Callithrix jacchus: one gene and its partners. The protein of the gene in region 3 purifies or fractionates together with the protein of the main gene of each other region. This does not show direct contact. Links are inferred from orthologs where the notes say so. Each region holds a gene or a part of one and is shown on either strand. Other genes may lie near its edges. The genes, in order: ANAPC2, CDC27, ANAPC16 and ANAPC4.

The links.
Region 1: the proteins of ANAPC16 (region 3) and ANAPC2 purify together in Homo sapiens (co-immunoprecipitation; 5 studies listed by BioGRID and IntAct, with this or other methods). This does not show direct contact. The link is inferred for Callithrix jacchus from reciprocal best matches to the Homo sapiens genes ANAPC16 and ANAPC2.
Region 2: the proteins of ANAPC16 (region 3) and CDC27 purify together in Homo sapiens (affinity purification with mass spectrometry; 10 studies listed by BioGRID and IntAct, with this or other methods). This does not show direct contact. The link is inferred for Callithrix jacchus from reciprocal best matches to the Homo sapiens genes ANAPC16 and CDC27.
Region 4: the proteins of ANAPC16 (region 3) and ANAPC4 purify together in Homo sapiens (co-immunoprecipitation; 10 studies listed by BioGRID and IntAct, with this or other methods). This does not show direct contact. The link is inferred for Callithrix jacchus from reciprocal best matches to the Homo sapiens genes ANAPC16 and ANAPC4.

Annotation. Positions count from the first base shown.
Region 1 is NC_133502.1:185,591,534-185,598,122, forward strand, and holds part of ANAPC2 (anaphase-promoting complex subunit 2), read right to left. Parts: intron 6,381-6,589; coding exon 6,248-6,380; intron 5,194-6,247; coding exon 5,019-5,193; intron 4,618-5,018; coding exon 4,498-4,617; intron 4,019-4,497; coding exon 3,901-4,018; intron 2,924-3,900; coding exon 2,742-2,923; intron 1,994-2,741; coding exon 1,852-1,993; intron 1,610-1,851; coding exon 1,534-1,609; intron 1,470-1,533; coding exon 1,266-1,469; intron 1-1,265. UniProt on the Homo sapiens protein: Together with the RING-H2 protein ANAPC11, constitutes the catalytic component of the anaphase promoting complex/cyclosome (APC/C), a cell cycle-regulated E3 ubiquitin ligase that controls progression through mitosis and the G1 phase of the cell cycle.
Region 2 is NC_133506.1:87,064,284-87,071,645, forward strand, and holds the start of CDC27 (cell division cycle protein 27 homolog), read right to left. Parts: upstream 4,843-7,362; 5' UTR 4,720-4,842; coding exon 4,693-4,719; intron 4,192-4,692; exon of another isoform or gene 4,104-4,191; intron 1-4,103. UniProt on the Homo sapiens protein: Component of the anaphase promoting complex/cyclosome (APC/C), a cell cycle-regulated E3 ubiquitin ligase that controls progression through mitosis and the G1 phase of the cell cycle.
Region 3 is NC_133513.1:57,947,397-57,954,638, forward strand, and holds the start of ANAPC16 (anaphase-promoting complex subunit 16), read right to left. Parts: upstream 5,311-7,242; 5' UTR 5,211-5,310; exon of another isoform or gene 5,048-5,210; intron 5,024-5,047; exon of another isoform or gene 4,970-5,023; intron 2,133-4,969; exon of another isoform or gene 2,127-2,132; 5' UTR 2,003-2,126; intron 903-2,002; exon of another isoform or gene 780-902; intron 1-779. UniProt on the Homo sapiens protein: Component of the anaphase promoting complex/cyclosome (APC/C), a cell cycle-regulated E3 ubiquitin ligase that controls progression through mitosis and the G1 phase of the cell cycle.
Region 4 is NC_133504.1:168,461,619-168,468,966, forward strand, and holds the start of ANAPC4 (anaphase-promoting complex subunit 4), read right to left. Parts: upstream 4,120-7,348; 5' UTR 4,008-4,119; intron 3,935-4,007; 5' UTR 3,925-3,934; coding exon 3,796-3,924; intron 995-3,795; coding exon 889-994; intron 1-888. UniProt on the Homo sapiens protein: Component of the anaphase promoting complex/cyclosome (APC/C), a cell cycle-regulated E3 ubiquitin ligase that controls progression through mitosis and the G1 phase of the cell cycle.

The DNA of each region.
Region 1 (6,589 bases), on a different chromosome or scaffold from region 3:
CCAAGATCAGCAGCCTGGCCCAACCTCCGCCTCCTGCCCCGGGTGCCTCTACCTGGCCCTCCCCTTGTCTGTCTCTGCAACTTCCCCCTTAGTTTCTAAAGTGGACTCATCACCTTGCCCTCCCCTAGGAATAAGCTTCCTTAGTCTGTCAACACAGCAAGGCCCTCTCACTTGGCAGATAAAAAAAGGAAACACATCTAGACCCAGCGTCTGTCACAGCAGGCCTGGAGAAGCTGGGGACCCTCCTTTGAACTCAGCCCCACCTGCCGGCCTTGGCCCAGGCTGCGGCTGGCCCATCTCCCTCCTGGGGTTGGGGTCTGCAGCCTGGAAACCAGCTTTGCCCCAGGACCCTCTCCTCACGTGTCCCCTGCTGGGGTGCTCAGCTCCCCCCAGGCCTGAGCATTCGCTGGGCACACCGGAGGCCTCACGGGCCCCACACACCAGACTGAAAGCCCTGGGACCTGGCTGCACAGGGGTCCTAACCTCTTCCCTCGACCCAAAACATCTCACCTGAACATGAGCTCAGGGAAAAAACCTCCAAGCGTGGTCCCATACCCAGGGCCCTGGATACCTGTTCTGGGACTGCTGGGATTGGTGGTGCTGCCAGGAGACGTGAGCCAAATACGGCCGATACCACCACTCTGGGCACGCTGGCCCCACTTGCCAGCACCTCCAGGCCAGGGCTCGCTCCTCCAGTCCCCACGTCTGCTTCCCCCCGACTCCCACCACAGTCCCACAGCCCTGGTCCTCAAGCACCATGGGAACCTGCAAATGCAGTTCTCCGGGAAATATCTAGAAACAGGGGCAGGGCTGGGGCCCCAGGGTCAGGTGCGCTTGGGAGCGCTGCCCTGGGCAGAGGGTGGCCCTGGCTCCCTGGCCCTCACCTGCAGTGACACAAGGCACCCCAAGTCCTGGTTCTGAGAGGCAGAGGGCAGATGGCAGAAGAGGAGGAAATGCTCAGTGGGTGCGGCCTGCTGGAGCCACGGGAGTCCCCGTGAAGCAGCACAGGAGATGTGGGCCTAGCACAGCCCACCCGAGCACCTGTGGGGCCGAGGGACGCTGGCTCACAGGGGGCACAGGCTCACTGTGAGGAAGGCAGAGGGAGTGTGGACTGGGCCCACTCCATCTCCTGCAGGGATGGCTGTGAGACATAACCAACCCTAGACACTCGGGAGACAATGGGGTGGCCATAGGCACCAGGCTGCTGAGCCCGCAGCACAGGGTGAGGTGCAGAGAGCCCTGTGGGGTGGCTGGCTTGGAGGTACCTTGAGCTGCTCGTACTTCTTGCAGTAAGCCTCCAGGGCTGCCCTGATGTCCTCAGGGACCTCCAGCTTCTCATCCTTGAAGGGCGGCCAGAACTCACTGGACAGGATGACAGCATAGACCCCGAATGGCGGCTGCTCCTCCACCGGCCGCTTCTCGTCCTCCTCCCGGATGTTGGCATTGATGCGGCGGGAGTCCGCCATATCCTGAGGGAGGAGCTGGTGTCACGGGGGCCTGGGGGTGGCGGGCGGTGGGCGAGGCGGGACCCACCTTCAGCATGACCTCGCAGAAGTGCATCGGGGCCTCGCCAAAGCGCAGCTTCAGCAGTTCTACGTTGCGGATCTCCCTGGAGAGACGAACCAGTGTCTGGGCGGGGGTCGCAGGGGCTGCAGTCCCAAGCAGCACCTGTAGCAGTCATGGGTGCACCTCCCGGGCAGAGCAGGGGGCCTGCGTGGCACCCCGGCGGCCAGCTCAGCCCCAGCCAGGAGTGGGGGTGGCACACAGTCCAACCAGGCCCAGGCCCTGTCCTGACAGGCTCAGCAAGGGCCCCAGCACCCCTGGAGACGGCTGGCGCCTCCCTGGCCTCACCGCTCCGGGCTGAAGCTGAGCTGGTGCAGTAGGCGGTCGGCCAGCAGCGAGCGGTACTCATTGATGAACAGGTCCTTGCTGCCGTAGATGCTGACCAGCAGGCTGATAATGTCTGAGGAGCGCCGCTTGGAGCTGGACTTCCCTGGCACAGCGGGGGCAGGGGTGTCACCTGATAGGCACCTTGGCAAGGATAGGGCACCCCCCTCCCATCCCACCATGCCCGAGGCATAGCCCAGCATGGCTTTTCCTGAAGGCCCTCGAGGCTGGGAGCAGCCCGGCACCTCCCAGGAGACCAGGAGTCGCATCCTAGGGCAGCAGCTTCGATCCCCAGCCCCTCCCGTCTCACAGGGACCTCCCCGGACCCTCAAGTAGGCTTAGGGTACAAGCCACAGGTTCTGGGGTTTTCCTCTGAGGAAGACTAAAGACAGTGAAGACTTACCATCTGGGCCAGGGCTGGGGCCAGGCAGGGGTCCCACAACTCTCAGAGCTCCGCACACTGCGGCCAGGGACAGATGGGCCCTGAGCAGTAGCTGTCACCTAACGGGACTCTGAGGCCCACACCAGCAGCGGGTGCAGGGGCCATGCACGTTTTCCTTCACTCCTCTGCCAGATGTCATGGCGGGGCAGGGGACACCCCACAGCTCACAAGGGGCGGAAGGAAGGGCACCTCCCATGGCTAGAGTGACCAGCCACAGAGGGACATAGCCCACCCTGGGCCTGCCCAGGCCGGCGGGGGTGGAGCACTGCCCTGACCTTGGACCCCTTCAAGCCTCTGGGGCACTGGCCACACGTGACACAACCAAGCTATGCGGCCAGAGAGGAGCCCAGAGTGGCTGGCCTAGCCGAAGCCTCCATCCATTGGCGAAATGGATGCTGTGGGGCAAGCTAACCTGGATCAGCGTCCACGGGGTCTGGGACCCAGTCCTCAGGCTCGCCCGAGTCATCCTCACTGTCCTGGCCCGTCTCCAGGCTTGCTGGGTCAGTCTTGGACAGCTCAATGGCCAAGTCCCCCGTCCCGTCCGAGTCCCCCGTCAGCCCGGCCACGATCTGCCGCACCGTGTCCTCCCGCGTCCTGCCGGCATGAGCACTGCTGTGGCCCATGGTATGGATACCCCACATGCCCCTCCCACTGCCCACGCCAGCCCCGCCCCGTCTAGGCCAGCACCACCACCCCTGCCTCTACAGCCACCGATGACGAGCTGTGCACTAAAGACAGGCCTGTCAGACTCCCTGAAGAACGAACCCGGCGCTACAGGTTCGGGTTCGGCGCTACAGGTCCTGGGAAGCAGGAGCTGTGAGGGCAAGGCTAGCCTGTGTGCCCACAGGCCCAGCTCTGTGGCACACTGAGGCAGGACGGCTTGAGCCCAGGCAGGTGCCCAAGGCTGCAGAGTTGATTCTGCCACTGCACTCCGACACAGTGAGAGCCTGTCTCAAAAATAGGAAAAACTTTAGAAAAAGAACCAGCCCAGAAGCCAGGCCCATTACAGCCACAAAGCAGCGAACAAGTCCAGACAGGCGCCGGAGTCCCAGTGGCTCCTGCTGCTCAGGCCTGGGGCCGCGGGGCCTCTTCGACTCCCGAGGAATTTCCAGGCAGCTGTGGCAAGGCCCTCATTCCAACACATTCTCCACCGAACAGCCCGGGGAGTGCCTGCTCCTTGCCGTGGAAAAGGCTGGGACGGACAAGGAGAATGGGCAAGGAGAGCCCATTCTCCTTGCCTGGTTGGCGCGTGGGGGCCTGGTCAGCGCCAAGGCAAGGCTGAGCAGATGAGCTTCTCTCTGTGCTGAAGAAGGGGAGGCCACGGAAGGGCTGCAGGGGGGCCTCTGGTAGCTGCACACAGAGGGGACGGTGACACCATGTGACAAGGACAGGTGCCCAGCACAGGCAAGAGTAAAGGAAGGAGCCCTGGGCCTGAGCCCGTACACTCAGCCCAGCTGGGGGAGACCTTGTATCCTGAGGGCCAAGCACACCCTCCGCTGCCCCCAGGACCACCGGGAGCTCAGCAGGACACCTGGGGTCCCCGTGGCTCCTGGGCCAGCTGCAGCCCTCACCTCAGGTAGCGGCGGATGGGCTCACAGGCCACCTCCAGGATGACCATGGAGGGATCCAGCACGCGCAGCGCCTTGATGGCAGAGATGTAGAGGGTGATGATGTCACACGTGTTGACGCCTACAGCCGGGGAGATGCCGGTGGTCATGCAGTGCCTCCCAGGGGCCAACGCCTGAGTGGGCTGCTGGCCACACCGGTCAGGTTGTCTACAGATCCCTGCTGCAGCCTCCTTTCCCAGGAGACCAATATGACCGCAGAAGCTGCTCCCCTCGTCTGCCCATCCCCCCATTCCCCCATACCCCCGTCCCAGCCTCTCCCTGCTCACAGGCCCTCCCTGCTGGGTAGTGTGTTCTGAGAGAACCAGGTCTCAACACCCCAGACCACCTGGCCAGTCCCAACTCCCTTCAAAGAAACAAGCAAGCTGACGGGTACCCCAGATCCCCTAAGCACCCCACCAATAGCTTCTCAACCCATTTCTTCCTTAGACCTGTAAGTCCAGGGCTAGAGACTGGGTCCCCAGCTCCCTGGACAGGAGCCCCCTGGTAGTGTCTGAGCCCTGAGGGCCAAGCAGTGGGGCAGCAGCAGCCAGCACACAGCACCTGGATGCAGCAGCCGCGTCTCCAGGGCGGCCTTGAGGGACACGAGCAGCTGCTGCCTCTGGTCTGTCCTCTCCAGGCAGTACTTGAGGTCCTCGATGGCTGGTCGGGAGTCTGGGAAGTCTACAAGTAGAGGGACATGCCTCAGGGACAGACACGGACACGTGCACATGTGGGGGGCTCGCCAGCCCTGGGACGAGGAGACTACCCACTAGACCCAGACGTCCCCCCAACATTTTGGCGTGCTGATGCATTTGACCAGAATGCCACAGGGTGGACACAGTGACAGCCAGGGGCCAGTCCCCAGCAGGAGCCAAGGCTGAGGGACCACAGGAGTAGACACTTAGGAGCACCACCCAGTGTTTGCCGCACCTGCCCGGATCCAGACACGGGGATGCCTGCAGAGGGAAGGGTACCAGCCCTGCAAGCGCGACAGGCAAAGGTGCAGGGAACCCAGACGTGGACAGGAGAAGGGACACAGCGAAGGCCCTGGGAGGGTACCCCAGACGGGAGAGTGGGTGGACCTCGGATGATGCTGAAGAGCTCCTCGATGCGCAGGCTGGCATAGATGCGGTAGAAGAACCTCTGCACATGGCAGCGCCAGCGGCGCAGGGTGTTGCCCGCCTCGGGAGATGCGGGCCTGGAGGGGCTGTCCTGCAGGAACACCTTGCCGAGCCAGCCAACCACCCGCTCGATCCACTGTCGGGAGAACACGAGTGTGAGCTGCAGGGAGGCGTGGTGAGCCCACACTGACTCGGAGGCTGGGAGGAGCCCAAAGGGGCCGTCTTGGTCCTCCTGCGAAGCCAGAGCCCAGTGCCCACACGCGCACCAGTGCCCACACTTATCAGTGGCAACAGCAGCCCTAGCGCGAGATGTGACGGACATGCATGACCCGTGCGCTGGGCCTGGGAGGCACACTTGCCCCCACTTAAACAGATAAACCCGCCCTTGGGACTGGACGGGTGACTGGCCACCCCCATGCAGATGACACTGCACATCACAAGGGCATCTGAGTGAACACAAACCCCGAGCGGCAATTCCGCCACAGGGGCCCAGGCGTGCACATGCCGACAGGCGGCTACCCAGTGGCAAGACACACAGACGGTTCACCCTCTTCACCGTACTGCCCACTCTACCCCACCACCGTGGAGATGCCCACCCGCCCTCTTTGAAAGCCCCACATCTCGGCCAATCTGCACCTCAGTAGGTGGACCCCGCAGCACTGGGGAGAGGAGAGGTGTCAAGTGGGGCCAGGGTGGGAGTACCCACGTGACTGGGCCCAGCTCCCCCATGGCTCTGGAAGTGCAGAGCAGAGCCCCGGACCACACCCCAACAGCACAGGTACCTGGAGGCCCCGTGCAAGGGTGTTTGGCTCCCCTCTGTGGTGCGGGCTGGCTGTAGGCCAGTCCATGAAGGACCAGCCATGCAAGTCCACACTCAAGAAGGGCAGCGAGGAGAAGGGGTCACTCACTGGCCCCTCTGGTAGGCCTGGCCTCGCCACACCTGCCTGGAGCAGCCCCTTGGGATCCTGGCCCGGTACTGCTTGTGGCTGTGGGATTCTGTGCAGACCTGATGAGCACATCCCAGATGTGTCTTCACTGTCACCAGGGACCAGAAGTACCAGCCTCTACCCCACATCAAGGCAGCTCCAGGCACTGCCTGGGGCTGGGCCCACCATGCTCTGGCTGTTTCTGAAGCCAGGTGTCAGGTCTGGCACCCCCAGAGGGGCCCAGCTCAAGGGAGGGGTCCTCACCTTGTGGAACTCTCGCAGGAAGGAGCGCTCGTACTCGCCTCGGCATCGGTCCTCCATCCTCTCCCGGGTCACCTGGTGCAGGGTGGCGGTCACAGCCTCGGCACTGACCCGCTCCAGCAGACTGAGCCTGTGTCTAGAGAAGAGCCCTGGCCATGGGCACCCACGGCACACACCGGCCCCTCTAGCCCCGGCATGGGCACCCACGGCACACACCGGCCCTTCTAGCCCAGAACAGCCTCATGCCAGGACAGCCCTGCCTATAGCATGCATGTAGCACACATACACTCTCACAGTCCTCAGCTGGGGGTGGTGGTTGTGCCAAAGGCTTCAAGAAGCTTGGGA
Region 2 (7,362 bases), on a different chromosome or scaffold from region 3:
GCAGTCTTCCACTGTTAACACTCTTGTACTTAGTCTTAGTATTAAGTTTCTTTGTATTCCTGGATGTATATTTAATAATTAAGGATCTCTGGGAGTCTCTATTGAAATAAACTCTGTGATAAATAGATTATTAGTTTATTATACAAATAATTACCATCTAATTACTCCTTTATAAAAGCCGGGGTTTCCTAAGAACCTACATGTTTAGTTTTGTTGTAAGTGAAAGAAAATGGTGAGTAGAATGAAGATACCAAAGATCTGATGTTTGGTGACATGCTCAAATTTGTCTGCCAGCACTTCCAGTAGTGGGACTTTGTGGGAAATACTCAACTTTTTTCAGCCTCAATCTCTTCATCTGATAGATGGAGTTATTTCTTGGAGTTGTTTTGTGGATTAAATAAGATGATCCATTTATAATGCTCCTTGTATATTGACTGTCACACATTAAGCACTTAAAACCTTTTCCTTGCCAATCGCTTAATATAAATTCAAGAAATATGTAGTTTCCGTTATATATTTCCTCAGCATACCTGCTACAACTGCTTATTTTGCAACATATAAGCCACAAAAGACCCAAATGATTTACAAGCAAATTTAATACTATGGACCACTAGGAAAATTTCACTCTTATATACTAAAGTCATAGAATCCTAGAATTTTGAAAATTTTTTCTGTCTTTTTAAAGAAATGAGGGGTAGGAGCTGGGGAAAAAAAAGAAGGAAAAAAGGTATCATATTCAAGAGTTCCATCCATTTCTGATTTAAAATCAAGCTTTGCTCAGAACATCATTCCTTTATCACCAATTCTTAAAAACATCAGAAAAAACCTGCCATGTAGAGAATCCCACATACAGCTTCCATCCCACTTTGCTCACTCTAAGTTCCTGACTGATGGTGTCTCTTGTGGGGTGTTTGGGGGGAGAACAGATTATTATCTAAGGCACTACAGATAAGTAGTAGCTGATGACCAACACAGCTAAAATCAGCTTCTCTGCCCAACTGATGGCGTAGGACTTCCCCTAAAGAACAACACCCAGTACATTACCGCTAGAGTTCTACAAATTAAAGCCAGATGGATGAAGTGCTGCTAAAAGAAAGTTATGAAGCCAAAAGAACAACACTCCTTCTCCCTCTCTGTCAAAAAATGTTTAAGAGAAATCCGACTGATTAATGGGTTAGTCCCCAGTTGCACTAATTTAAAAGATAAACAAACCAACAGCTTAAAGTTGCAAAATTCCTTACCAGCTAGCTATTCTTAAATATATTATTTTAAATATAAACAAGCCTCTATAAGTTATACTCAGACTTACATAAAATCACTATACATTTTTTGTTATAGAAAGTTTATTATAAAAAATTTTGCACTTGTTTTTGTTAAAATTTTTAATACATTTTGTGTTCTTGTTTTTGTCAAAAAAGCTGCCTTTTTAAATTTTATTTTTTTAAAGAGACAGGTTCTCCCTGTTTTGCTGATGTTAGTCTTGAATTCCTTGGCTCAAGCAATCTGCTTGCTTCAGCCTCTGAAAGTGCTGGGATCGCAAGTGTGAGCCACTGTACCCAGTCGGCTGCCTTTTTTTAAAGACTTGAAAAGAAATAGATAATAAAGGCTTCACACAATGTACAAAGACATGAAGAAAAAAAAAATCACAGTTGAAATTTCTTATTATACATTATAATCTAACTTCTAGGACACTGATTTAGTTTAAGTGCACATCAGTGGTTCTTACTGTAGGCAATTTTGCCTTCTTGATCCCAACTAATGTCCCCAACATTTAGCAATGTCTAGAGGGTATTTTTGGTTGTGACGAATGCTGGGGTCATCTGGTGGGCAGAAGCCAGGGATGCTACAAAACAGTCTATGATGCTCAGCTTCCAACAAAGTAATAGCTTGTGCCAAATGTCAACAGTGTCCAGATTAAGAAGCCCTGGTCTACATTATCAAGCAGTTGGATTATTCTACTTGTCTGTATGTCTAACTCTTGTCTCTTCTTCCCTTTCCAACAGCACCAGATTAATATTCCCAGGGTGGTGCTTTTATTACATAATTCCTCTGCTCAAAAACTCTTCTGCTCATTTAATAGTTATTCATTACCAATGTACATTAAATCTAAATTTTTCATTCAAAGATCCATACCCTTTGAATCCATGTTAGATGTTGTCCCTCAACATTTTACCCCCAGCCAAAAGTACTCCTTCACCATCTAATGATCTCTAAAGCAGTATCAAGTATGTAGTACCAATTGCTATATTGCTTATGAAACCAATTTTCAAAAAGCTTATTTACAACTTCATCCAACATCTCTGTGAAGTCTTACCCCTAGGAATAATTGCTAAATCTATATAAAATCTCTTTGCTTCTTTTTTAAATACCAATTTCATCAGGTGACTTTTATAAATACCCAAAAAGCTCTCACTGAAGTCACTTAGGCTAGTGTGTCTTTCCAAATAGTTACCATTAAAAATAAAAGATCTGACAGAACTTCTGCCTCATATGTGAGATTTTTGTAAGGACTCAAATATAAGTAATACTCTTCTGAGAGGTAGTAACTTGAGACAGAATTTTAATTTAGGCATATATGGTATATCAGGCTGGCCATTCTATGTTAAAACTTTAAAGAAAAAAATGCAAAAAATAGTTGTTCATCTTTTCTGTCAACTTTTTCCTATGCCTAGTAATACCATCAACTCTGAGACATTCCAAGAAAGAAAACAATTTTCCAACTCATTCTCATTGCTTTCCAAATGCATGTAATCTGTCGTTACAGTTTTTTTTAAGACAGTATGTTTATATCTGTCCTATTTTTATTCTCTTCTTTACTAATTCTTTCCCATCTGCAACACTATCCTTGATCATTGATCTTTATCATTGTAGTCAAAGTTGCCAGTTCTTCTCACTGCTCCAAATCATCCCTTCTTGAATGGCTTCTTCTTATACTATACAACCAAAAATCTCACCTAGTCATATCCTATAACTTTCTACCGCTATCTCAAAAATCTAGTGAACAATGCTACTGTGAAAAACAGGCAAATCTGACCTTTAAGCCTTAAAAATACCCAAGTGTGTAATTACTAACAAAAGTACTTTAAGTACAAACAAGAAACCTGATGGGTACTATCTAGAAATAGGCTACATATTTCTTTTCTTTTCCATGCTTTTATAACGTCTGAAATTATTATTAAATGGTGGTTATAGACTGTCACTGCAACTAGTTTATCACTTCAGAAGACTTCTGGAGCCAGAGAAAGCAAAAAAAAAAAAATTATTAAAACAAAATTACAAGGATATGCAACAGAAATTAAACAACTTGAGTAATCTGCTTATCTATTTAAGCTCATGCTAGGCCTAAAAAAACTGTGTATATATAATTATCTTATCTATAGCCATAGAATAAAAAAATTTTTTAAAGAAACGCTATACTGTTAAGAAGAATTTGGATGAAAATAGCTCTAGAAGAACTGATACAACTTACAGACAGGTAAATTTCATAAGGTATAATCTTAGGTTTTATGAATTCAAACACTAATAGCTGCTATCTGTAAACAGCTGGAGAAGAAGCCAAACTAGAAGAAATGAGTATTTCATGCTGTGAAGAAAAATTAAACAAACAGGAAAGTAGTGGTATGTTAAAATATTTACTATTTGATATCTCAAGCCTTTTAAGGGCAATATGAAGGAATTTATAAAAATTGGTTTGCTTTGTAACTTCAAAATTAAGTCCATGACTCAATGACAGCAGTTGATATAGGTCAATTCTGATCGAGTCAAACATCATATGGTAGGATGAAGTCTCCCAGACCTGGTCCATCCCCAAGGCACAAAAGATTCAGTTTCTCCAGCTGTGGGGGGGCCCGGGGAGGGGGAATGACTTGGCACCGCATCACATACTTAAAATCCAATAGGGTTTCGTTAATGTAACACGGCACTGTGCGTCAAAGCATATCTTGGTGTAAGGGCGGTGAAATGGACAGAAAAAACATTATTTGTCTTTCATTTCCTGAATGCCTTATAAACATGCACAACAAAATGCTCCTGATCCCCTTCACCGAGGATGAAAACAACCCAGATGTGCCCTTTCCACCCGCTCCCCTGGTATAGGTGCTTGCACCTCAGCACTGAGGCTTGGAGTTGTCTTCTCAAATCATCATTGTCCGGTGGGAAATTCCCCGAGAAAGGCAACGTGGGCTAGGAAGTCTGTTACCAAAATAGAAATTAGTATTAAAAAGACCGATCCTACTCTCCCCTCCACCCTCTCACATAAGACAAAAACAAAAATAAAACCCCCGCAAACTTGCCCTACCATCGCTAACATCATACAAGCTCTGATCAAATGTGCTTCTCGATCATCTTTGAGGCAAGAGAGCGTCCGCGGTGCGTTTTCGGACCCTCATCTCCCACCCCAGGTCAAGCCAGGCCCCTGGACTGACAGGAAGGGCTGGCCGGACGTTGGCTTGGACCGGAATGGCGGTTATGCTCAACGAAACCGCTCACACTAAGGGTGAAAGTAACGAAGGGCCCGAGGTAACATGGCTTAGGTTGCGGGCAAGGCCTCCGAACTAAAGATAGGCAGGACTCGGAGGCAGTAGAGGCGGGAGAAGCAGCCCGGCCTAGGCCGCACCAGGCCGCGGAGTGGCCCTACGCTGCTTCCCCGACCAAGGCTGTGAGCCAGGCCTCAGAGAAGAGAGTTATCATTACCTGGACGGGTTCCTGCAGCACCGTCATCCTCGAGGATCACTTTCTGCAGTGCCTCAAGCCCCCCCGGTAGCGGCTCCGGCCCGGCCAGCCCCGGCTCATTTAAACTCACCAGCGACCGTTACCGGGGGATTGGGGAGGCCGAGCGTTGCCGAGCGCCTCCGAGCGGGACACGGAAATACCCGAAGTGGAGAAAGCCGAGCGGAAACGAGACGGAAAGGCCCGAAGTATGTCGGAAATACCCGAGGTGGGTCGACGAGGAAAAACCGTTGCCGGAAATTGTCGAGGATTACCGGAAACTACCGAGTCTGACCCTGAGCGTAAGTTCCTCTTCTCGGCCACGCCTTCAGCCACGCATACCACGCCCAATCGGCCGTCCTAGGGCTGGGCCACGCCCAAGCAGCAACCAGCAGGCTGGGCGTGGCGTGACGGAACTGGCGAGGAGCGTTACGTGGCGGGGCTGCAGTGTGGAGTCGCCACTCGGCCCTCCTGGATTTATTGGTGTGCAGTAGATTATAATATAGTAAAGGGTAAAACAGCAGAGTTTGGGGCTGACTATAATAAATCAACAAGTATTTGTCTATTGAGTTTAGATTATTCGTCCATTCCAAAAGTATCTACTCACGGCTCGGGGAAATCTAAAGAAATTTGGAAAGATTGCCACTCCCCAAAGATAAAGGATAGCTTGTCTTCAAGGAGAGTAAGGCCTATTTAAGGGAAAAGCAGTGGAACAGAGAACGCTATGTTACGTGGTGCCTATTATAAGTAATACACAAATTCAGAGAGGGAAATTGTGTTAAACTGAGGAAAGTTTTATGGAAGGGAAAAAAAGTTTAAATTGGAGTTTGAAGGATGGATAGAATTAGAGGAAAAGGAACTATAGGATTAAGTGGAGGGAAGAAAAATGAGATCAGTCTGCTAAGAAGGCATTAATTGGAAGTACTTAGGTGGAGAGATCATGGAAACGCTCAATAAGCCGTTAGAAAAAAAATTTTTTTTTTTTGAGATGGAGTTTCGCTCTTGCTACCCAGGCTGGAGTGCAATGGCGCGATCTCGGCTCACCGCAACCTCCACCTCCTGGGTTCACGCAATTCTCCTGCCTCAGCCTCCTGAGTAGCTGGGATTACAGGCACGCGCCACCATGCCCAGCTAATTTTTTGTATTTTTAGTGTAGACGGGGTTTCACCATGTTGACCAGGATGGTCTCGATTTCTTGACCTCGTGATCCACCTGCCTCGGCCTCCCAAAGTGCTGGGATTACAGGCGTGAGCCACCGCGCCCGGCCAGAAATTTTTGTTTTTGATAGGAGAGGCATTCCGCTGTGGTAGAAACAGTAGGGGATCTGAAATTCAGAGGCCTGGTTTTGAATTTTAGTTTTAGCACTGACAAGTCATAGGTCCTTAGGCAAATTATAACCTCTCTGAAATTCTTCTGTTCGCTTAGTTTGAAAAAAAAAAAAAAAGGATTAAGAGACTTCGATGTATCACCAATGTGGCTCTGTCTAGCACGCACTGTAGACTCTCATACCTTTCTGTCCCTCCTCTCCCCCCAAAAAAGTGAACCAGGGAACTGTTGAAATTTTGTTTTTCAGCAGATAAGGAAAACAGGTTTAAAAGTTTACTAGTCAGGAGTTCTCTAAGCTAGAAGTGGACTCATGATACATTCTGTTGCTTGGAAATTTCCCTTTATGGTTCCCACGTTTTATGCAGATGACGTTGTTAAAACAGGGCTGACAGAGCTACACTGCATCCTTCTCCACCGCCTTCTCTTGTCACTGTGTATGTACTTATAGTCCCTCAAAGGGCAGGTGCTAAGGTGATTTTTGACTGCCCTGTGCCCAGTTGCTTTAGCAGGATCATGCTGGATGACTTAGGGTGGTAACAGACTTTTATACTGGCCTATATAGTAGCCACTAGCTATTTAAAATTTAAGTTAAAAGAAAATGAAATTAAAAATGAAATCTTCAGATGCCCTAGCCACATTCCAGGGACTCAGTAGCCCTGTATGTGGCTAGTGACTGCCACACTGGACAATCACACAGATACAGGACATCACCAGCATTGGCTTGGCTAGGGCTGGAAGAGCCAAGATGGCTTCACTCACATGTCTAGGGTGTCAGTGCTAGCTGCTGGCTGAGTGCTTCATTTCTCCTCCACATGACCTTTCTCTTCACATTGGCCTCTTATCAGCCAGTAGTCTAGCTCCAGCTTCTTCACTTGGTGGCTGACAACAAAGTGGGCAAAAATAGAAGCTGTGAGGCCCCTTAGGCCTAGACCTGTGACCATTATTTCTTGTTGGTCAAAGTAAGACTCAGAGTCACCCTGAATTTACCAGGAAGAGAAAGAGAGTCCACCTCTTAATAAGAAGAGTGGCAAAGTAACACCACACAAGGCATGTGCCATGGGAGGGGTTGTTGGGTCATCTTTGGAAACAATGTACCATGCTAGCTGTGAGACGAGAGCATCTAACATTGGGAATGGAAAGGAAGAGTAAGAGCTATCACTCTTAAAATGTGACCCTCCCTCTTTTTTTTTTCTTGAGACAGTCTTGCTCTGTCGCCCAGGGTGTAGTGCAATGGTTTGATATAGGCTCACTGCAACCTCCACCTCATGGGTTCAAGCAATTCTGCCTCAGCCTCCTGAGTAGCTGGGATTACAGGTTCCATGCCCAGCT
Region 3 (7,242 bases):
GCTACTGGCTGCTGTAATGGATAAAGTTCTAGTATTTATATTAAAAATAACTTTATATTGAATTGTATACTTTAAGATGGCTAATAGTTAATTTTATGTTATGCAAATTTTAGCCTACTTAAAAAAACTATTTCAAAAAGGATTGTAGGCCGGGCATGGTGGTTTAGGCCTGTAATCCCAGCATTTTGGGAAGCTGGGATGGGCGGATTATCTGAGATCAGGAGTTAGAGACCAGCCTGGCCAACATTGAGAAACCCCATCTCTACTAAAAATACAAAAATTACCTGGGTGTGGTGGCAGACAACTGTAATCACAGCTACTAGGAAGGCTAAGGCAGAAGAATCACTTGAACCTGGGAGGTGGAGGTTGCAGTGAGCTGAGATTGTGCCAAAAACGGGGACTGTAAAATGAATATCCCTCTGAAATGGTCAGAGAGAATTTTAGCTGAGTTTTTTTTTTTTTTTGCTAGTCAAGTGAAGCAGTGGGAGTGAAAAAGGAACAAAGATATCTGTAGCGGGTTGTGATCAGTTAGTGTAACAACACTGCACCCAGACCAGCCTGAATACTTTTCATTAGCGCTTTTTTTGTTAGTTGGACATGAACATATTTATTATAAAAAGTTGAGGCTGGGCACAGTGGCTCATGCCTATAATCCCAGCACTTTGGGAGGCTGAGGCAGGTAGATCACGAGGTCAAGAGATCGAGACCATCCTGGTCAACAAGGTGAAACCCCGTCTCTACTAAAAATACAAACATTAGTTGGGCATGGTGGTGCGCACCTGTAGTCCCAGCTACTTGGGAAGCTGAGGCAGGAGAACTGCTTGAACCCAGGAGGCGGAGGTTGCGGTGAGCCGAGATCGTGCCATTGCACTCCAGTCTGGGTAACAACAGTGAAACTCCATCTCAAAGAAAAAAAAAAAGTTGAAATATATTTATTTTTTCTAGGGAGGTTCTCACTCTCTCACCCAGGCTGAAGTCCAGTGGCCTGATCATTGCTCATTGCAGTCTCAACCTCCTAGGCTCAAGCAATATTCCAACCTCTCAACCTCCCAAGTAGCTGGGACCACAGGGGCATGCCACTATGCCCAGTTAATTATTTTTTTTTTTTTTTTTACTTTTGGTGGAGACAACTTCTTACCATGTTGTCCCCAGGCTTGTCGGGAACTCTTGGGCTCAAGCAATCCTCCCATCTTGGCCACCCAAGGTATCGGGATTATAGGTGTGAGCTACCATGCCTGTCTGAAACTTTTCTTTTCTTTTTTTTTTTTTGAGACGGAGTTTCACTTTTGTTGCCCAGGCTGGAGCGAAATGGTGCCATGTTAGCTCATTTAACTTCTGCCTTCTGGGTTCAAGTGATTCTCCTGCCTCAGTCTCCCGAGTAGCTGGGATTACAGGCATGCGCCACCATGTCTGGCGAATTTTGTATTTTTAGTAGAGACGGGGTTTCCCCATGTTGGCCAGGCTGGTCTTGAACTCCCAACCTCAGGTGATCTGTCCACCTCAGCCTCCCGAAGTGCTGGGATTACAGGCATGAGCCACTGCACCTGGTCATGTTTTTTGATAACAGAAAAGAGTGAGGGAATAAAATACAAATATATATATATATATATATATATATATATATATATATATATAAAATCCAGTTTTCTAGTAATGAAAATGATATAGTATGTCTTGAAACATTGGCTGTTTTGTTTGCTTAATTTTGTGATGATGATTTAAAGCTGTTAGAGAAGCAGAGCTTGGTTTCTGATTTCATTACAAGTAACACTGATTAATAGTGAAGTGGGATATGGGAACAGTAAAGCAACTACTATAACTAGACTGTCAGCAAAAATGCAAATTGAAGCCAGGCGCAGTGGCTCACGCCTGTAATCCCAGCACTTTGGGAGGCCGAGGAGGGCGGATCACGAGGTCAAGAGATGGAGACCATCCTGGCCAACGTGGTGAAACCTTGTCTCTACTAAAAATACAAAAATTAGCTGGGTGTGGTGGCACATACCTGTAGTCCCAGCTACTCAGGAGGCTGAGGCAGGAGGATTGCTTGAACCTGGGAGGTGGAGGTTGCAGTGAGCTGAGACCGTGCCATTGCACTCCAGCCTAGTGCCTGGTGACAGAGCAAGACTCTGTGTCTCAAAAAAAAAAAGCAAATTGATTAATGATGTTTTCTTTTTTCGAAGACAGAGTCTTGCTCTATTTCCCAGGCTGGAATGCAGTGGCATGATCTTGGCTAACTGTAGCCTTGACCTCCTGAGTGCAAATTATCCTCTTTCTTCAGCCTCCCAAATAGCTGGGACTACAGGTGTGTGCCATCACACCCCATTAATTTTATTTTTTGTAGAAATGAAGTTTCACTACATTCTTCAGGCTGGTCTCCAATTCCTGGGCTCAAGAGATCCTCTGCCTCAGCCTCCCTAAAATGCTGGGATTACAGGCCTGAGCCACTCTGCTCAGCAGACATTTTCAATCTTGTTATTAGATTACATTTCCTTTATTCTCTGAGCTCTGCTAACTTTCCAAATTGTATTCATATCCACAGAGGCAACAATTTTTGGAGTCAGATTCATATCCAATCTTCTGGACTGCAGTGGGTCAAAATATAGCCTGACAAGTTTTTCAACTGTTTTTGAACTTAAGCAGTGATGGATCAGGTCCAAATCTTCATGTGAATTCCTGGTGGGATTCAAATAAAGCATACAGATAACTTAGCCACCTTTTGGAGAGTAGCTCAGTCTTTATTTCTCATCAGTTCAGAGTGGAACCCACTGTGAACTCTTTATATATCTCACCTAAGATTTAAAACTCTATTTTTCCTACACCCTGATAAATGCTCTATTCAGTTGCAAATGCTTTATACTTTATATTTTGAAGTCAGTTGCTCAGCAGAGCACCCAAGCAACTGCCAGAGTGAGGACAGCTTCAAAAGTTAGCCACAGTGTGACTTCTAAGCTGAATATAATCAAAGGAATTCCCTTTCATCTTGTTTTCTTTCCAACTCTCAGAACTACTATCATTCCATACACAAAACAGCCAGGATTAAAAACTGGAGCACAGAATTAGCACAAAGCTAACTGTAAGTAGTTTTCTGCTGAGGTGGAAGGATATATCAAAGTATTTTCTAGCTCTAAAGATGTAGGTTAAATTTTGAATGCTACCAGCGAGTGGTAAATGAGAGTAAAGCAAAACTAATACACCCTAGAGATTGTAACTGCTCTCAAGGCAGGCACTAAGTAATCACCAGAACCAAACATAACACCTGGCCTATAGTGGGGAAGTAGCTGTTCATTTCAGTAAATGCTTGCTGAATGAATTAAATGTTTCACAGAAACCACAGATTCCTTAAAGGTCATCTAATCCAACTTCCTCATTTTATACATGAAAAAATAAAACTGAGGTATAGAGACAATTTTAGCTTATCTGCTGTGACATTTTGAAGCAATGGCTTGTTGGCATGTCATTTGTCATGTGCAAGGTAAAGCAGCATAGCGGGTAAGATTATGAAGCCTCTCTGCCTGAGTTCTGGTTTCACTACTTACTTGCGGCATGACTGTGGACAAATAATTTAACCCATTTATGCCTAGTGTTCCATTACTGGAACGCTAACCATGTGGGAGTAATTTATATCCGACTGCTCAAGATCATCGCCAAGGTCTGATGGCAGAAATTCAAAAAACTGCAACCTCCAGCATATTTAATATTTTTGTTCCTTGGTTGTCTTATCTGCAAAATGGGAAACAGGTTGAAATGCTTGGAACTGGAAGTATTTTGGATTTCTTTCAGGTTTTGGGATATTTGCATTATACTTAATGATTAAGCCTCCCAAATTCGAAAATCTGAAATTCAAAATGCTCCAATTAGCATTTCCTTTGACCATCCCCTCACTCAAGAAGTTTTAAATTTTGGAGCATTTTGGATTTCTGGATTAGGGATACTCAACCTGTAATAGCGGCAGCTACCTCACACAGATGTGACAAGATAAGTTAATACATGTAAAACGCTTGGAACAGTTATAGGCTTATTAAACACTTCATAAATCTTAGCTATTCAAAATAATTAACGGAGAGTTACTCCCGAGTTTTTCCTATGCAGATCCCAGTTTTTCATGCTTACTATGAAAAAACTTCATGGAAAAAGTTTTAATTCTCTCTATCTAAAACAGTCAGCAAGCTCCCAGAGGGGAAAGAATCTGTTCAGGAGGAAGGCCAATGCCCTCTACTAGGCACTTTACACTTTCATTTTAAGGTTCACGATCTTAAGAAACATACTGCTACCTTCGAAAAGTCTTTCTACCCTCAATGCCGAGCACAGAACCTGGGTCACAGTGTTTCCACTGTGCTTCCAGTCCCGGGCATTTCAGATGAATGAATGATGAACAAATGACAGAACGCAGGGCATGCAGCTCAGCAAAGGTCAAGCAGGAGGTAAGAGAAGTGCGGTGTCATGAGTACTGGTCCATTAAGTTTTTTTTTCTCATTGTGCAGATGTATTCGCACAACTCTATCTTCGACTAGTTGGCCGGGCTCACCGGAGGTGCTTAGTAAAATTTTGTTGAGTAAATACTGATGATTAAGTATCCTGGGACTTGGCCCTGTCAGGGAGGTTGGGGCTGGCAGTGGAGATCCTCACAGGAGAGTAATGATGCTTTCTGGACACAGATTGCTGTGTCCGAGCTAAGATGCTTAAACATTTACTTCATGTACTCGCATTCATAAATTCCTTTCCTTTCTAACAGATATATGCCTATTTTCTTAAAAAGTAATTCCTTAAAAGTTCCTACCCTAGTACAAATTACAAGAAATCATTAAATTCCATCAACAAATTTTTCCACTTAAGAATAGCTGGATTACAACCCAAACCAAATAGAAGCCGCAGCTGGAACTGCGGGGTGGGACGTGGAGAGAAAGGGGCTGGAGAGGGAGCCGTCAGAACACTAGCGGCTCCCAAGCAGACTCCTAGCCACGCTACCCACCCAGCTGGGTTCCAGGAAACGACGCCATCGGCGCTGTCCCACTGCGCAGTCTCCACCCCTCGGCCCGCATGCGCAGTCAGTCCAACCCGGCCTGGGGAAATTTCCTTTCGCACGTCTTCTACAGCAGTCTCCTGTTTCTCCACCTACCTTCTCCATTTTCCTAGTCCCTGCAGGTAGGATCCTAGGGGTTAACTCCCTTTTCACCAAGCTCCCAAGGGCCCTTGAGCCCTCGGCTTCTTACCTCAGCGGCTTTAGCACTTTCCCCTACAGCCCCACCCCCAGGGTCCGCCGGAGCTGCTGCGCATACCACGACCAGGACGACGGCGTGCTCGCGCCCTCACAATGGGAGCCGGCGGCGTGCGCGCGTCCGTGCGTGGTGGGCGTGGCCAGGGCTGAGACGCGAGTAGGGGAGTAGGGAACGCGCTCCAGGAGAGGACTTCCGGCTCCTTCGCCTTCTCGCCCTGTCTTGGTTTGCCTGCAGTCCTCTAGCACTCTTCTTCTCTTTGATGATTCGGGGCCTCGGCTTCCCTCACGGTATTGCAGAAAGACACAGCTTTCCTCTTCTTCTCCAAACCACCTCGAAGCAGGGTTAAGTTGGTTATTCCCCTCTTTCCTTCTGAGCAGTCTCGTAGCGCAGGGCCATGCAGGGCAGGTAGATGCTACTTTTGCTGTCTCCCGGACCCCGGTTCTTCGGGAACTTGTGGCCTGAGGTCCCGACCTTCACCTTAGTCTGTTTTTGTGGGAAACTTTTTTTTTTCAGCTTTCCCCTTGAAGGTTTTTTTTTTGTTGAGAATTTTAGAGGCCTCGGGGAATAGGCCATTGGGGTATGATGTCATCGACTGTTGCTAATTATGTGCCCTTTTCCTTCATCCCTGTCGGTTTACCTTCTTTGTTATTTTTCACGAAACCTCTTCTTGGTTCTGTAAGCACACAAACCATCAATTATTACTATTTTTAAACATTTTATTTTATTTTTTTGGAGAGGGAGTCTTGCTCTGTCGCCTAGGCTGGAGTGGAGTGGCGCGATCTCAGCTCACTGCAACTTCCACCTCTCAGGCTTCCGAGTAGTTGGGGTTATAGGCGCCCGCCACCACGCCCGGCTACTTTTTGTATTTTTAGTAGCAACGGGGTTTCACCATGTTGGCAAGACTGGTCTCGAACTCTTGACCTCAGGTGATCTGCCCTCCTCGGCCTCCCAAAGTGCTGGGATTGCAGATGTGAGCCACCGCGCCCAACCCAAACCATCCATTAAAGTGACTTATTTGCTGAGGATTGGACTGAACATTAGTGTTTTTATTAAGGATCGACTTGTTTTCTTTGGAACTCTTCAGTATTTTGGGCTTCAAGACTATTTGGGCTTCAAGCTGTACATGGTAGGAATATTGGTGCAAGTTAACCTCAGCTAGCCTGTGAGAACCTTTGTTTCCTAAATTATTGATTAATTAAGTGGTGTGACCAGAAGCTTGGTTTCTCAGTGAGTGATGTGCATTTTGTTGGGCAGTGGCCTGTAGAAATTGGATTCCTTCCATCAGCAATATGTTGGTCTGAGAACCATATTGGTTAAGTTGTTATTTTAACTGTGCTTTGACAGGTAACCAGCTGATTGGTATGAATGTCTAGCATCTCTGAAAGTACTTAGGGGTATTTTTTTTTTTCTGGGTGGTTAAATTTATTAAATATCCCTCATTGTCTTAACTGTCTTGCTAGATAGATACGAGTGTGCCCAATGTGGTGGCTCACGCCTGTAATCCCAGCACTTTGTGGGGGCAATCCCAGCACTTGGGGGGGCCAAGGCAGGTGGATCATCTGAGGTCAGGAGTTCAAGACCAGCCTGGCCAACATGGCGAAACCCCGTCTCTACTAAAAATACAAAAAATTAGCTGGGTGTGGTGGTGGGCACCTGTAATTCCAGTTGGGAAGGCTGAGGCAGGAGAATCTCTTGAACCCAGGAGCCAGAGGTTGCAGAGAGCAGAGATCATGCCATTGCCCTCCAGCCTGGGCAACAAGAATGAGACACCGCCTGGGGGAAAAAAAAGTGAGATAGTGTGCACATAGTTACATAATCACTGAAGTTTGCATTTTACTCACTAGGCTGAAGTAATAAAGAGACCTTTATTCTCTCTTTCAAAGTCATGAACAGGCTGTGTTTATGTTTAGGCATTTATAATGCCTTTTTCTTTTATCTCTCTTTTTCTTTCTTTCCTTCTTTTTTTTTGAGATGGAGTTTTGCTCTTGTTGCCCAGGCTGGAGTGCGGTGGCGTGATCTCGGCTCA
Region 4 (7,348 bases), on a different chromosome or scaffold from region 3:
GTTACTGCTTGAACCCGGAAGGCAGAGGTTGCAGTGAACGGACTTCACACCACTGCACTGCACTGCACTCCAGCCTGGGCAACAGAGTGAGACCCTGTCTCAAAAAAAAAAAAAAAAAAAAAAGCAACGAGGAGCAAATATTTTACAAAAACAATTCATTTTTCTTAAAGCGTCAATAAAATGTTTAAGTACTTTATCTACAGAAAAATTAAGCAAAGAACACATATTTTACAAAAACAAGTCACTTTTTTCTTAAAATACCCACGACACAGATGAACTTTAAGCTGTAGGATTTACAGCATTTTTCTTCACTTTGATTATATGTGTCCAACAGTTCCAATAAGGATGGTCATTGTAAAAATATCACATGGAAGAGGACGATTCTGTCACCAGAGCCATAAAAGCCTATAACATAGGATGGGACCAGAAGAAAGATCACATAGAAATGGAAGGTATGGAGTCAAAGCTCATAGTCCCCCTGGGGAGGCAAACATATATGCACCAAGGGAATATGAGCCACACATTTCGTGCTAAAATCCATTGTGAAAGAGAAAGGCCATGATGGCCTTGAACTGCCTGACTGGAGAGTGGCAGGTGCTGCCTGGGCCAAACACAGGCCAAGATGACAGCGGAAAGAACAAAACCAAAATATTTTGTACATTCCATCAGATTTCACCTCAGAGTTATCTTTGCCAAGAAACAAGATAGCAGAATTAATCTGAGTTCTATAAAAATATTTTAAGGCATGTTTTTAAAAAAAAAAGGCCCCTAACTGGTATTTATAATTAAAATGTATACTAAGAACAATAAATTCTTCCTGAAAATGGACTTTCTTTACAGAATACTTTTTGTGAAAATAAAAACATATTTTTGTAATATTATCATTACGTTTGCCATCTGGTCTCCATGCCAGACAGGTCACTTCCTTTCCTGTATTTTCATTTGGTGGAAAACTCCAAACTCGATGAAAACTTGCAAGTCGATGAAGTAACACCTAAGACAAAGCAGATATAACGGCAGGAAATAAAAAAAAAAATCAATTTCCAAAAATAAAATACACCTCGATCCCTACTAAAACCTTTTTTAAAATTACTATCTCTCAAGTATAGTTAGCTATCAGAAAAACAGAAAAAGACAACAGTGTCTGCAAGAACACAAGGTATTTTAAAATAAATGGGTGAAACAAGGTCTAATTTCACCCAGTACCTAATACATCTTCCCATCTTTTATGTCAACGGGAGACTTACCTTTTAGAAGGAAGGCTGTCCAAGATGACAACCAAAAAAGAAATAAAAGAACACAAACATCACTAAAAAGGTAACTAGCTGTAATATACTCAAATAATACTAAGCTTGGAATTAGACCACGTGGCATCTGATTTCAGTTGTGTCACACACTAGCCATGGATCTTAGACAAATCACTTAACCATTCTAAATCTCCATTTCCACAACAGTAAATTCCCACCTTGGAAGGTCAAAATGTTGCCCAAGAGCTCTAAGACTGATCCTGTTGCAGCTTCTATACAACCATTGACAGTAAGGAAGAAAAGGCCTCACAACTGCACGTGCTCCTAGAAGACCCCTCTCGATCTCCATCGACTCCACACTCAGCTTTACCACCATGCCCTGCCTTACCTCACAGCACCCTTCACTCATGGTAACATCATCTCTCCAACTTGACCCTCTCTTTTCTGAAACCATTCCTGCCATTCCTTACTTCTGAAACCCTTCCTCTGTGCTTTCTGCAGCTCATGGTCAGATGGCATCATGAAATTAAAATCTTCATACTTTTATCGGAAATGTGCCTCTCACCAGAGGACATGGCTTCCCTGCAGCCTTCCTAGGTGGTGACCATTTTGTATCCCACGGACCCTGTACTGCTCCTCTTGGGCTAGGAGATGAAGCAGGTGTCTTCCTTGATGCTCAATGCCATTTCTTCTCTTCTTGAAAACCTCCTAACTTTGAATCACATGCAGTCAGACCATACCACCCACTCTCCCCTTGATTGCAGTCCTCTACAGACCCCTAGGCCATTCCCCTCATTCCTTGAAGATTTGCACACCTGGCTCGCTCATGCTTTCTAACAGCACACTCATCCTCATTTTTGGTGATTTCAAGAGCTATATGTCCTGGCTTTTCAGCTGTCAACTACCTCACCTCCAGTGATCACATCTTCTACTGCACTTAGCCACTCCCAGGGTCACACCCCTAGCCTGGTCATTACCAACAACTGCAGGGCCACCAAAATCTCCATTTCAAATTTCCTTCCCACCTTCCATCCACCACCCCTCTTTCAGCTCATCTCTGCAACACTCAACTCCAATTCTTTGACCTCACCAGAATATACAGTCTATTGATTCTACCCCCTAGTCACTGTTCCTCTCCCTACACCTGCCCTCACTTACCTCCTTAACCACGTTAGAACCCAAAGTTCATCAACAAAATCACTACCCTTGCACATAACTTCAACTCTTTCATCTTTCTCTTGCTAAACAACAATCCTGGTTAAACCCAACTGTACCTGCACCCACACAGCCAAACAGAACGGAGACACAACCTCATTCAACCAGTGTCTCTCAAATAAGAACACTGATCTTGTGGTGCTCTTAACACTGACTGAATCCTATTTAGGTTTCCCAAGTCCACCTGCCTTGTTAGCTTTTTCAGACCTCTTCTTTCTCCTCAAGCTTGCAATATTTTCTTCTCCATCTTCACCCACAGAAAATTCCCTTGCCTCTTCCTTCACTGAGAAATGGATGTAACAGTGCCCACTATCATGCCTACCCTTCTGATCGCACAGATGTACCTCCTTTCTACCTTTCCTCCTGCTCCTGTGGCTGTACCACCTGTTGTTCTCTAGAGCCACGACAGAGTTTCAAAGCATCCCGGCAGAGGAGGGAGACTAGATTTCATGGAGGGCCCTGAAAAATTAGACATCAATACCCTGGCTACTGGGTCATGGTAGATAACATGATGCTGTAGTCCACAGGGTGCTAAGATTTCCTTACCACTTAGTTTCCAAACTTAACTCTACACAACTCTCACCTGGCCAGATAATGCTCAAGCCAGAGGCCGAAAGATGCACAGGTGAAGGTTTCCTTACAAAATGGCTGGCAAGTAATAATTCTCAGCAGAAAGTTGGGTACAACAGGTGTTGGTACAACAAACTCGATGAAGTTTAATGTGAACTAGAAATGCTGACAAAACCCATGCACGTTCTGTCTGGAATCCAATGATGCATCTCTTCCTTGTCCAATTTAAAGGTTTTTAGTGGAAGTTAGCATCCAACCCGTAGTATAAAACGTGGACAAGAGACTACAGATTCTTAAATATATATTCTGGGTCAGCTACATGCATACAGTCTTGCAGCTAAAGTTCGAGAATTACTTCCTTCTGCTATTAAAACTGTAAGTAAACTTAGGGCAGGCCCTGAATTTACCACTATGTCTAGCTAATGGGTGGCACATCGTGGGCTTTTTAAAAAGTTCATTTAACTAATAAAGCGATGAGTGAAGAAGACTTGGGGATGCAGAATTGCCTGACGGTGTTAAGCTGTGTGAAAACTGTTACGTTAGCCATAAAAGTACTGAAAATGGCAAAGACACCACCTTTCGCATATATTACTTAAAGTTTACTGCCGTCCTGGGAGGCAGGGAAGGGGTAGCAGGTGGCCCGCCGCGTCTGCAGAAGGGGAAACTGAGGCTCCGGCCGCCTGTGGCCCGAATGAACAGGCTCGGTGTTTTTGGGCCCCCAGCGGGCAGACCCAGCCCAGGCGGGTTCCACCGGCTCACTTACCTCGCCCGCTGTGTTGGCCAAAGCAATGAGATCCCGCTTGGGAGACCAGACCAGGAAAATAATCTCCTGCGGGAGCTGCTTCTCTCCCACCACCCGGAAGGACGGGAAACAGGTCGGAAAACGCAACATGGGGACGGCCCTGCAACGACACCCCAGTCAGAGGCCGGCAGGAGCTCCTGGCCCTCCGCGAGAAGCCCCGACCAGGGCGGTACCTGCAAGAGTCCCCACCGGCGACCAACACGGCCCCAGCGGCCTCTCGCCTCCCTCTGCCGGCGGCGCGCCGCAGCCTCCAGACCGCCCCGCCCTGCCGCTGTCGCGCGCTCCAAGCACTTCCGGCCCCGGGAGTGCCTCGCGAGAGGAGAAGGCGGGGCGGGCCGGGCAAAGGGCCTGGCGAGGCTGAGATCCAGACCGGGCGGACCGAGACAAGGCGCGTGGGCGGGGCAAGGGAGCAGCGAGGGGAGGAGCGAGGTGGGGGTAGAATGGTGCCCCTGGGAGGGACACGGAGCAGCGAGGGGCGGAGCGAGGGGGAGGGTGGGGCACGTGGGCGGGGAAGGGAATGGCGAGGGGCGGGACGTGAGGGAGGGTGGGGCACGTGGGTGGGGCACGGCGCCCCGAGTGGAGCAGAGAGGGAGAAGCAGAGCAGTGGACCCAGCTGCAGGTGGGAGCGCTGGGCGCTGGGACGTGGAAAGCTGCACGCGGATTTTTTGGTAACGCATGTGTGCACGCGTGTAGGCACGCTTGCATAACTTTCCAGTTTTACCAAAAATTCGCTGCTGTGTTCGAAGGGACGGTAGGGGTGTAGGGGGAAGGCTTCAGCGACAATGGGGAAATGAAAAAGAATATGAACTTTAAGGTTCTGATCAGCTGGAGCCTCCTCTGACAGACTCCAAACAAATAGTTCTCATGTCAGTCCTGGTGGCTCAGTATAGAATTTTAAAAGTTCACCTGTCCAAGCAGCACCCCAAACCAATTAAAAGAGAATTAACTCTGGATGGGCCCAGTATTTACTAAAACTCTTTGGGTGATTCCAATTTGAAGAGGGAAGAGGGGCCTGCCCTCAAACCTCCCTAACAAGCAAATAATACTGTGACTCCTCATCCCATTTAACGCTCACAACTTATTGGTAATTGCAGCCCCATCATAAGGAATGAGGACTGTGGGCTCACACACGATTTCTTCTGTAGCTTCTTGGGCATTTACTATGTGGAAGAACTGGGGCTACACAAATGCATGGGACGGGTTTTGCCAGAAGGCTCACAGGCCTGCCTGGCAGTCTTGTAAATCAGAACTCATCTGATGTTGATTTATGTAGGACACATTTAAATGAGTCAGCATGTTCACAGTTCCCACAGCTATGACCTCCCTGAGAGAATGTGACAGTGTCATTCTAGGGTTCTTAAAATCTGTTGGAAATAGATGTTCGGTGCTGCAAAGAAAACTTAGCACTGAGACAAAGGATTTTTCAGCAATGCAATTTTTACTTCCTGGTCTGCAGGAAGCTCATGCCACAAGAATACAATGAACAAAGGAAAACACACAAATTTATCCCTTATGCATTTGGGGTCATCCTTACTGCTGTGTCTGATCTTCATTAGCTGGAGCCAGACCTCACAATCTAAATTAAAACCCGATTGGGTAACAACTTAAAACTTTTCTAAATAGGTAAAAGCAATGGAGAGCTGGGATATGCCTGGTTCAGCACAGATATCTTGGTTGAAATACAAGAACATAGAATATACTACCTGCCTATAAGCATGGCATGTCTAACAACTACATAGGATAGGGCTTAACAAAGAGTTATTAGCACACTTACTCTTTAATAAGCAAGGAAACTTTAAAAGGGAACTTTTCTACTTCCCACAGACCTATGGTAGAAAGCCATCTACTTTTCACTACCTTTCACTTGTTCAATGGAGAAAGAGGCCTCAGTGTGGATAACCCCCCACATAGGCACCAAGGAAGGAGAACTAAGCAAAATCCTGGCACAATTAAGATCTGAAGAATATCTCAGTTTATAGTGTTACTACTCAGTTATTTCTTTATATAATTCTCTCTATATAATCATATATTTGTTCATAGAATGAGTGCCTAAAGAATATCTCACCACTCATTTATATATATATATATAACTATATCTTAGTTCATAATTGGAGGAATGCCTGGAGTAGACACGGTACAGAGCATGAATTAAGGAATAAGCAGCTTATAGTCAGAGGAATGTCTGGAGCAGACAGTGCCGAGCATGATTTAAGGGAAAAACAGTTATACCAGGACAAGAATCCATGGCCCAGGGGGCAGTGTTCAGTATCATTAAGATACCCACTGTATGGCAGGCTTGGGGCAAGAGCCACTCCTCCTGATAAAGGAGTTGTAGGACCTCGCGTCTTCTTGTGGAAGGCTGCCCTCAGACCGGCAATCCCTCTAGCATCCATTCAAGGGCTCAAAACCCCTACGGATAATTGTACCTTGGTGACTGTGAACTTTATTAGCTCTTGTTACTGTGCTGCCCAAAAAGCGTCTTCCTATAGAACTCATTGGAAGCTGCCAACAGGTGGCGGTAACCCTGACAGCTCTGTCACTGCTGTGTGACTTAAAGCATCCTCCCACAAATCTTAGAAGTAGCTTGCCCGTAGGTAGAGGTAGTGCACACTGCACCCTCTTCACTGCGCACAGCCCACCTCCATGCCTCAGTGATCTAATGGGGGTGGACATCTTGCTGCACACTGTCCACCTCATAGCCTAGGTGACCTAATGAGGATGGACCCCTTGTTTTATTGCTCACAATCCTATCACTATCTTTGAAGATGACTTCACTCACTGCCCTGCCTCCTAACCTATACACAATAAATACTGACACTTCTGGACATTAGGGCCCCCCTGAGCCCAGCTCCATTTTCCTTGTACTTCTGTGTCCTGTCTCTTTGTTTGTTGGATCCTGCACCTCAGCACAGCATAAGGGACACACCACGACCCTGTGGGGCCCTCAGCCCTACACTGCAGGACCTTTAACTTCTAACAAGCCCCCTCTTCTTGACCTCTGACTGGATCTAGCCCCTGGGAAGTAGATGATGGAGGGAGATTAATTCATTCAGTGTCAAGTAACTAATTTGTGCCAGGCACTGTTCTTAATCCTTGACTTCCTCTCAGGGGCTTTGCAACCCTTGCCTTTGCCACAAACAACTTAGCATGTCCCCCCAACTCTTCCAGAATCAACATTTCTAAGGTGAAAACGCACTTGCCTTTGTTTTTCAAAATGCATTTTCAGGTGTTGTTTTGGGGCAGTTATAACGGATCAGCTGGTGGGTGTCCAGTATCTATGCACTTTACATTCTTATGGAAATTGAATGTCCATTTTCCTGGAACTTACCTGAATACAAATGCCCACACAACTTGTGAAAATGGCTGTTCCCAGAGGCATAAACACTGTACTACAAAGGACAGAGTATAACCACCTGCACATGAAGTCTTCACAGAATATGAATTTCCTAAGCCTTACAGCAAAGGAAACAGCGCAGGTGTGGAGTTCCAGGTGTGGGCAGGAAACAGCAGAGTT